Linked DNA regions of Caenorhabditis elegans. The protein of the gene in region 2 interacts with the protein of the main gene of each other region in a pairwise test. Each region holds a gene or a part of one and is shown on either strand. Other genes may lie near its edges. The genes, in order: lin-37 and btbd-10.

The links.
Region 1: the proteins of btbd-10 (region 2) and lin-37 interact in a two-hybrid assay, tested with the Caenorhabditis elegans proteins (3 studies listed by BioGRID).

Annotation. Positions count from the first base shown.
Region 1 is NC_003281.10:7,070,780-7,074,706, reverse strand, and holds lin-37 (uncharacterized protein), read left to right. Parts: upstream 1-2,154; coding exon 2,155-2,279; intron 2,280-2,328; coding exon 2,329-2,463; intron 2,464-2,900; coding exon 2,901-3,180; intron 3,181-3,227; coding exon 3,228-3,397; intron 3,398-3,587; coding exon 3,588-3,705; 3' UTR 3,706-3,817; downstream 3,818-3,927. Other genes in the region: ZK418.13 (Pollen-specific leucine-rich repeat extensin-like protein 1), read left to right, coding at 1-423; ZK418.5 (BOS complex subunit TMEM147), read left to right, coding at 874-946, 993-1,126, 1,304-1,501, 1,552-1,688, 1,739-1,874; tmem-17 (transmembrane 17 domain-containing protein), read right to left, coding at 3,822-3,927.
Region 2 is NC_003280.10:4,903,264-4,907,190, forward strand, and holds the start of btbd-10 (BTB domain-containing protein), read left to right. Parts: upstream 1-1,744; 5' UTR 1,745-1,795; coding exon 1,796-1,946; intron 1,947-2,004; coding exon 2,005-2,123; intron 2,124-2,591; exon of another isoform or gene 2,592-2,593; coding exon 2,594-2,660; intron 2,661-2,896; coding exon of another isoform or gene 2,897-2,976; intron 2,977-3,927. Other genes in the region: sgt-1 (SGTA homodimerization domain-containing protein), read right to left, coding at 1-320, 374-530.

The DNA.
Region 1 (3,927 bases), on a different chromosome or scaffold from region 2:
CCCGTATCGCCTCCGTCTAACATTCCCGAGCTCATCCATCATCAACCGGCACTTGTCACACAACCCGAATCAAGACCAGATCCAAATTTGATCATTTTGCCGGCTCCAACTGATGTTCATCCGCCAAAGTCCCCGGTGCACCATGTTATCAAGCAAGAATCCATGAAGGACATCCCACCGGGATCACCTGCATCTCCAGGAGCATGGTCTGGCTCCAATAGCTCGTTGATCTTTATGCCATCTTCTACTCAAGCACCGGAACATTATGCTATTCCATCCGTTTCCAATGTTTTGATGTTTCGTAAAATGGAACACATTTTCTACAGCTCGGAATCCAACTGGTGGTTGCTCGTGGCACTGGTGATGCTCACAATTTTTGCGTACCGCTCTTCTATGGAACAACACACTTGCTATTACGATTGATGATTATGATTATAAAGATCTTTTTATTTGTAAATTATTTGTTTTAATACGAATTCGAAAAGTCTGCCATATGATAGAAAGTCCTATTCAAACTTCGCGCGTAAATGGTTCTCAATAAAGCGCGGTTGCACTACTCTTTTTTTGTCGCTCTTCGTCAACTTCTGGTAGCGTGAGCCCTTCAAATATCATCATTCAAATGCCCATTTTATCGATTTTATTGAATTTTAGTTATTTTAAATCCAATGATTATTCTCAAAATGAATTTCATAATCATCGGCTGGTGTTTTTGAAGGTTTCTAGTGTGTCCAAACGAAATTTATAGTCCTAAAATATTAACATTCAGTAATTCATAATTGCTTAAGAATTAAAAATTACCTTCTTTGTTCCTTGATATCAAGTATATAGTTTTAATATTAATTCAATATCTTTCAGGTAAGCTAAATCTACAAAATGTCATTTTTCCATTTCATCAATTGCTTCGCGTTGGCATTTGCACCATATTTTATTGTCTACAAATACTCAGGTAATATTTTTTATGGGAAGTCAATGAAACACCACTATTTTTATAGGAATTAACGAATACAGTTCCATCTGGAAATGTGCAACTGCTAGTGGTGGATATTTGCTGACACAACTCGCCAAACTGCTTATCATTGCCACATTTTTCCCAGCCCTCGACAGTGAAGGATTCAGTATTGTGCCGGTATGTAATTAATTTTTCTATTCAAAATTGGAGCTATAAATAACGTTTCAATGAAAATCATTTTAATTCAAGTTTTAAGTGAAATTTACCATAAACCCATCCTCGCCGGACATAATCCTTCGGACACTTCAAACTTATTGATTTTGGTTTTCATTGCCAATCTCAGAATCATTGCAGGAATTCCTAAAAAGCAGTGCTGACATCATCGATGTCATTGGGCTTCACCTTCTGATGACCAACTTCTTAGCCGGAAAAGGAGAAGTTCGATTCGTTGTCGGTGGTCTTGGCTGGGGATTCGCTCATTCTGTTGCTCATCGTCTTGTTCTTTTATGGGTTGGAGCTCGTGGAACCGCTTTCACATGGCGTTGGGTTCAGGTGATCAAATCTTCCTTTTTTCTGAAAAAAAGATAATATTATATTTTCAGACATCTCTTGATTCCTCAGCTGATCTATTGGTTATTGTGTCTCTCGCCTGCCTTACATGGATGATCACCCGCACTCCAAACAAGTTCTTGGTGTCACCGATCCTTGCGATGTGTGTCTTCTCAACATTCGTTTATCAGTAAGTATTGGTTTTACTAGTCAAAAAATGTAAATTTTTTTTTATTTCAGAACCGTTCAACACACATTCTCTCTCTACGGATGGTCTCTCTTGGCATTCCGCTTTGCCTACTCCATCGCAACAGCAATTCTCACCGTCGTTGTCTATTCGGCAAACCGGACAGCGTCCACAAGAAAGAACGAGTAGCAACACATATTCTGCTATAATTCACTTTTTGTCAGTTTCAATACTATCTTAGATTCTTTCAGAATTTATATATTTATTCGAAATTTTCTTCTCTCCTTGTTCATGTTTATACAAGTACCCAAAAATATTTATTGTTTAATTTAATAACTGCTTCAAAAATTGTCGTCCTTATATTTACTCTACAATTTTTATCTCTTTTTATTAAAGGTTAAATACCTTTATTACTTTGGCAAGTATTCGCTGTTCACTGTCCAAATAATGTATTCCTCTCCAATTCTAGATGTCAGAAATAGATCCACTTGCCGAGTTCTTGCTTCCAGAAGACGGAGATCGAAATGCTCGTCAAAATGATCCATTGATAAGCGGAGGTCCACTTCCATTGGAATCGCCAAGCAGAAAACTCACGTAATACTTTCTAAACTTGAAACAATTGTGCTACTCAAGATGCTTCCAGATCCCTGTTATCCTATGATCCGACAGTTCCGGAGTCACCGGATATGAAATTCGCCAGAAAACGTCTGGGAAATCTGCTGACAACCATAAAACATCACCCATCGGAAATAATTGGAGTACTCCCAGAAGATTATACGTAAGTGATAAAATGGAAAATTTCAATTCTTGTTTAATTTTCGGCAGAGTATACCATGCCTGGGGCGAAAAATCATTTTTTTTTTGGTTTTGATTTTGTATCAAAAAGCAAAAATATGTAAAAAAGCCAAAAAAAAATTGGAGATTGAATTTTAAACCTTAATATTTGAGAAAAAGAATTAAAAACTATGCAGAGCCACATTTAGTTTGAAAGAAAAGTAAAATAAATTTTGTACACAGAAAACGTTTACAGTAAATACAGCATTTTTTTTCAGTTTTTTGGTTCCAGATAAATAGTTAATTTTTGTCAAATGTCGCGTCCTGGAATATACATAACAGAAAAAAATTTAGACAATGTGGACCTTTTTGTTTTTCGTAATATAAATTTTAGACATAATTGAAAAATTAGAGTTTCCATTGCATTTTTTATAATTTCAGTCGTGCTGATGAAGAGCCCGGGCGCCAAGGACGTCCACCAGGTCGCCCTCGTAAGATGCCGCGTCACGAATCTTCAACTTCACTTATGGAATCACCACGCAAGACTATGACTCGTGATTCTAAAATTATGTTTGAATTGCGTGGAAAACCATTCGAAATGATAGCTGGACGTTTTGAAGAAGAATATTCACTTGGTAGAGCATGGGTTAAAGGACACATGAATAATGAATATGAACCAATAAAAGCTCAAAGGACAGACTATGCACCGAATCTGGCTGTTGTGAGTGGGAAAGATTAAATGAAAAATGTTATAATTATTTCCTTCAGGATTATCTTGCATGTCGCGAGATTCATCGAATGCCACGTCCAGATAAATCAATTCCTGAGCTGCCAATTGTTCCATCTAGAATCGATGAATTCGACGCTACAGTCGATCCAAGATATGAAACAGATTTGAAAAATGAATACATTCGTCATTGGAAACAAGTCAAAAAAGGGTAACACTTCTTCTGCCATTGAAAATTTCCGTAAAAATTTATTTCTTAAAGTATTACGGTAACTGTGCTCTATGTTAGAATTTCATTTGTCGAATTTTGTATCAAACTATAAAATAAAAAATATTGTACTAGCAATCTGTGATCACTACTATTTCTTCAAAGTCAGAGAATCCAAAAAAAAAAATTTCAGTTGGTGTGCTCATCAACGTCGTCGGACTGCTCCCCATGCAAGAAGCATAGCATTAATCAACAAAATCTACCAGCCTGGAGAGTCGAAAACTGTCGAGCAAGCACTTGGTCTTATTTAAATATTCTAACATGTAATTTCAATTTATCTCTTACTTTCTGATCTTGCTATCACATGTCTCTTATTTCAAAAATCTCACTTTAAAATTCATATAAATAATGGGTTTATTCAAATACATCATCTTGACAATTGTTTTTTCAACGTTTTTCTTCCACTTTTTGGAGATTTTCCTGAAGTTTTCTCGAGCTCGTCAGCTACTTTTTCTTGTTGAATCTTGTTAATA
Region 2 (3,927 bases):
TTGGATGGCCAAATCATATTGTTCCAGGCGGCAATAAGCAGCAGCGCGGTTACAGAAGTAGACTGGATCTCTGTTGAGCTTGATGGCGGCATTGTACTTTTGAACAGCAGCTTCAAATTGGGAGGCTTTCATTAAATCGTTTCCTTCTTCTTTAAGCTTGTTAGCTTGAGAAATATCACTATCGCTCGGTGTTGGAAGAGCAGATTCTCCCTCTGGAAGTCCTTCGGCGCTCTTGAAAAGTTCGAGAATTGGGCGTGATGGTTGGAAAGCGTATGAGGCATCATCAAGACCAAACGAGTGTTCGAGACATTGAATTGCAACTGAAATTTTAATATATCTTAAGCTAAATTTATAGAAATAAATAGGAAAAAACCTTCAAGAGCTTCCGCTTGCTCGGCAGTGGCCTGATTTTGTGAAACCTTCTGGCGGATAAACTGAAGGAATGAGACAACCAAATTTTGCTCGTCTCTGGTCACAATTGGCGAAGCAGTCGGCGCATCTGGAGCAGAAGGCTTGATCTCCTCGGACATTTTCTTAAAAATAAAAATATATTTATTAAATAATTTTATATTGAAGTTAGAAAAGTAATATAAAGTTGAATTGAAAATCCATGATAAAGCGCAGATTAAAATATTCTTAAAAATATATAGTTCAAGAAATAGAAAATGGCATCGCTTAAAAATGGCATTCCGTGATTATTTTCACTCGGGAATCGCTCGCCCACTATGGGGGAGTCTACGCAAGGACAACGCAAGGACAAGGACAACATTCTAATGGAATGGAAACGATTGCCCGACTGCACCAATTCTAGTTCGAGCGAACAATGATAACTTTTGTATTCTATATTCCTTCACGTCTCCCAGCGAGCGTAATAAATTATTATTATTATTAAAAAAAAAGAGTATTAATTTTAAATGCTTAACTTAAAATCTGAATTTAAGCGCTCTATTTGCGAAATTTGGTCAATGAAGAGTGAAATATTGTAACGAGAATAAAATTGAAAAGTTTTTGAACAACGAAGAGTAAAATTAAAGATTGCAACGTCATTTTATTTCAGAATCAGTGCAAAAATTTCTGGAAATTGCGGGAATAATTTCATCAGCCTCAAAGGCACATGTCGGCCGTCACTTTGATGTGTCTCGCCACGAAAGTAAACCAAGTTCAACTGAAGAGACGGCAGACAACTTGACAGAAAAGTTGCAGCAGCGCGTAGAGTGTATTGTAAAGTTGAGAGAGTGCTAGAGAAAAAAAAAGAAGCGAGAAGCTGACTGGTGGCCCCAGGTCTCCTTCCAAAAGCCACTCATTTCCCTCTGTCGACACCCGTCAACTTAAATTTTTTGGGGCCAGAGACGTCTGGGTACCAAAAGTTTTATTTCAAGCTTGTTTTATTCGTTTTTGTTTCAAAAAAAAAGTGTGATAGTCAGGAGAACGCTGCTGTGAAATTTGTTGTTTCTGTAAAAAATGAAAAAAACAAATTGAAATCAAGCAAATTTTAATTTATTTGTTCGCAAAGTCCTTTTTCACTATGTTCCAAGCTTTCTTTTACCCAAATTTTCCGTTCGAAATGTGTTTTTTAAATGAAAACTTGTTCAAATTTGCGGAATTTTGAAAATACTTGTATTTGAATAATATTTACCCAGCCATTCTGCCTGTCATTCTTATTTTATACTGTTCAACTCCTCCCAAACTTTCACTATCTGTTTCCTAAATAAATAAAACTATATAAAATTTCGCACATTTTCAGTAATTAAACTGTCACTCTTATCATCTTCTTCGTCTTCCACCATTCTACAACATGTCTCAATCGGAAGAACAGAACAAAGACATTCCATCATCTTCAAATTTTGGAAACCCAGCAAATAATGGCGTTAATGTGCCAGATGCTCCTGCGCGACGACTCTTCGATAACACTTCTGACGAATCTGATGTTTCACTGGATAATGATGGTAAGAATTCGAATTTTTCATTCAGATTGAATAAAAATCAATAATTTATTTTTTTCAGACAAAACCGGGGCTGAAACTGACGGTTCCTCTTCAAGTCGTGGATGTCTGAAGAGCGAGAGATCTCGCAAAGATCATGCCAGCACGTCATCAACAAGAACTGTTCGTGCACCACAGCAGGTAATATATTTGTTTTTTTAATAAAAATTATCAAAAAAAAACGATATGAAGACATAAAAACCATGAAAAGTCGATAAAAATACCACAAAAGTTTTAAGTTACAGTAATTTTTAAAGGCGCACACCCGTAAATGCGGTTCTCGGTATCGACACGACAGTGTTTCGTAGATAACAAACAAGTGTGCGCCTTTAAAAAGTACAGTATTTTCAATCTCTCGCTCCTGCAGAATTTTTTATCAATTTTTTCTACTTTTTCTCACGATTCGTTAATATTTATGTGTTTATATTGTTATTTTTGGTATAAGAAACATTTTTTCGCAAAAAAACTATGAAATAAATTAACTTTAAAGCGCACACTTGTTCGTATTTCACAGAAATGTATTTTTGAGGAAAAATTGCAAACTAAAATTAAAAATTTCCGCTTTTCACCGCAATAATTCTAAAAATAGCCTCTAAATCTCATTTTTCCAGGTTTCTTGGTCATTTGGAGCTAAACCTGCGACTCCACACTCTCAACCGCCTGCCGGACTCAAAAAAGGTAAATTTCCGTTTCTTTTCTTGTTTTTGTGTGTCCCTCGTCATTGTGACGTAAATTGCTCTACGAAATTGGAAGAAAATCACTATTTCCGGCTCGTTCACCTTTTGGCAGAAGAAAAACGCTCTTTTTTTCTTCACATATGTTTTTAATGTTTAAACAAACACATATTTGCTTATTGACTCCAGATTTTTCAATCTCCAAACATCCGATCATTACAAATCGGCTTAGAGTTTTAGAAAATAACCAAAAAAGCAATTCTGCACCTGCTCAAGGCTATAATTCGTTTCTAAATTTGGATATCTGTGCAAATTATTAATAATTTCTTTTCTACTTTTCCCCACGAGATGAAAGTAACATTTTCGGATAATGGTGAGTCAAAGCTCAAAAACATCCTTTTAGTCTGATTGGGATTTAGTTGGATTTGAAAATTTAAACACGAGATTAGTTTTCTGAAAATGTGAAGACTTTTAACATTGATGTTATCTATTTTATTTCAATTTTAAATGACTTTTGTATTACATACAACGAGTCTTTGTCCTGTAAAAATGCTTTTTATTGGCGTTGAATGACATTTGACCATCTGACAAATAATCATAGATTCATAAAAAGATGAATAATAATTCTGAATTCTCGATTTTGTTTTTCTTTCGTTTGTGAACTGAAAGTTGAGTTATCTAGATCCTTTTCTATTGGGCAAAAAGTGCAAAGAGGAAAAAGCGAAGACCAAGAAGAAAATGAAAACAATTTAGAAAAGTGAACAGGTGGTCGAATGTTGCCAACTGTCCCTCTCTCCGTTTTCTTAACTTTCTTCATTTTTTCATATCTCCATCCATCGCCGAATTATTATTTACGTCATGATGACACCTCAAGGGTTCGGATTTCAAAATAAAAAGTTTCAAGAGTCATGTGGAAAAGTTGTGAATGTTTTGATGGACTCTGTGGACCATCTTCTCTGGGGTTTTCGCATCCCCAAACGACTTGGCACTTCATAATTTTGAAAAAGTGTAATTAGAATTTTGTTTATAGTCCCATACCGTAGTTTTTGCTTTAAAATGCCAAAAAAAAATTAGCTGGCGTGGTTTCTCATTTTGGAGAAAATTCAAGTGGAAACCCTAAATCATTTTTGTAATTCTACTTTTCAAGTGAGAAAAAGTTCATCTTTGTCATAAGGATTCTCCCTTGACTTGCAGCCGTTTGCAACTTCATCACAGATACTTTAAAATGTATGACCTTGCCCACTTTTATAGCTAGAACTCTACCAAAAATA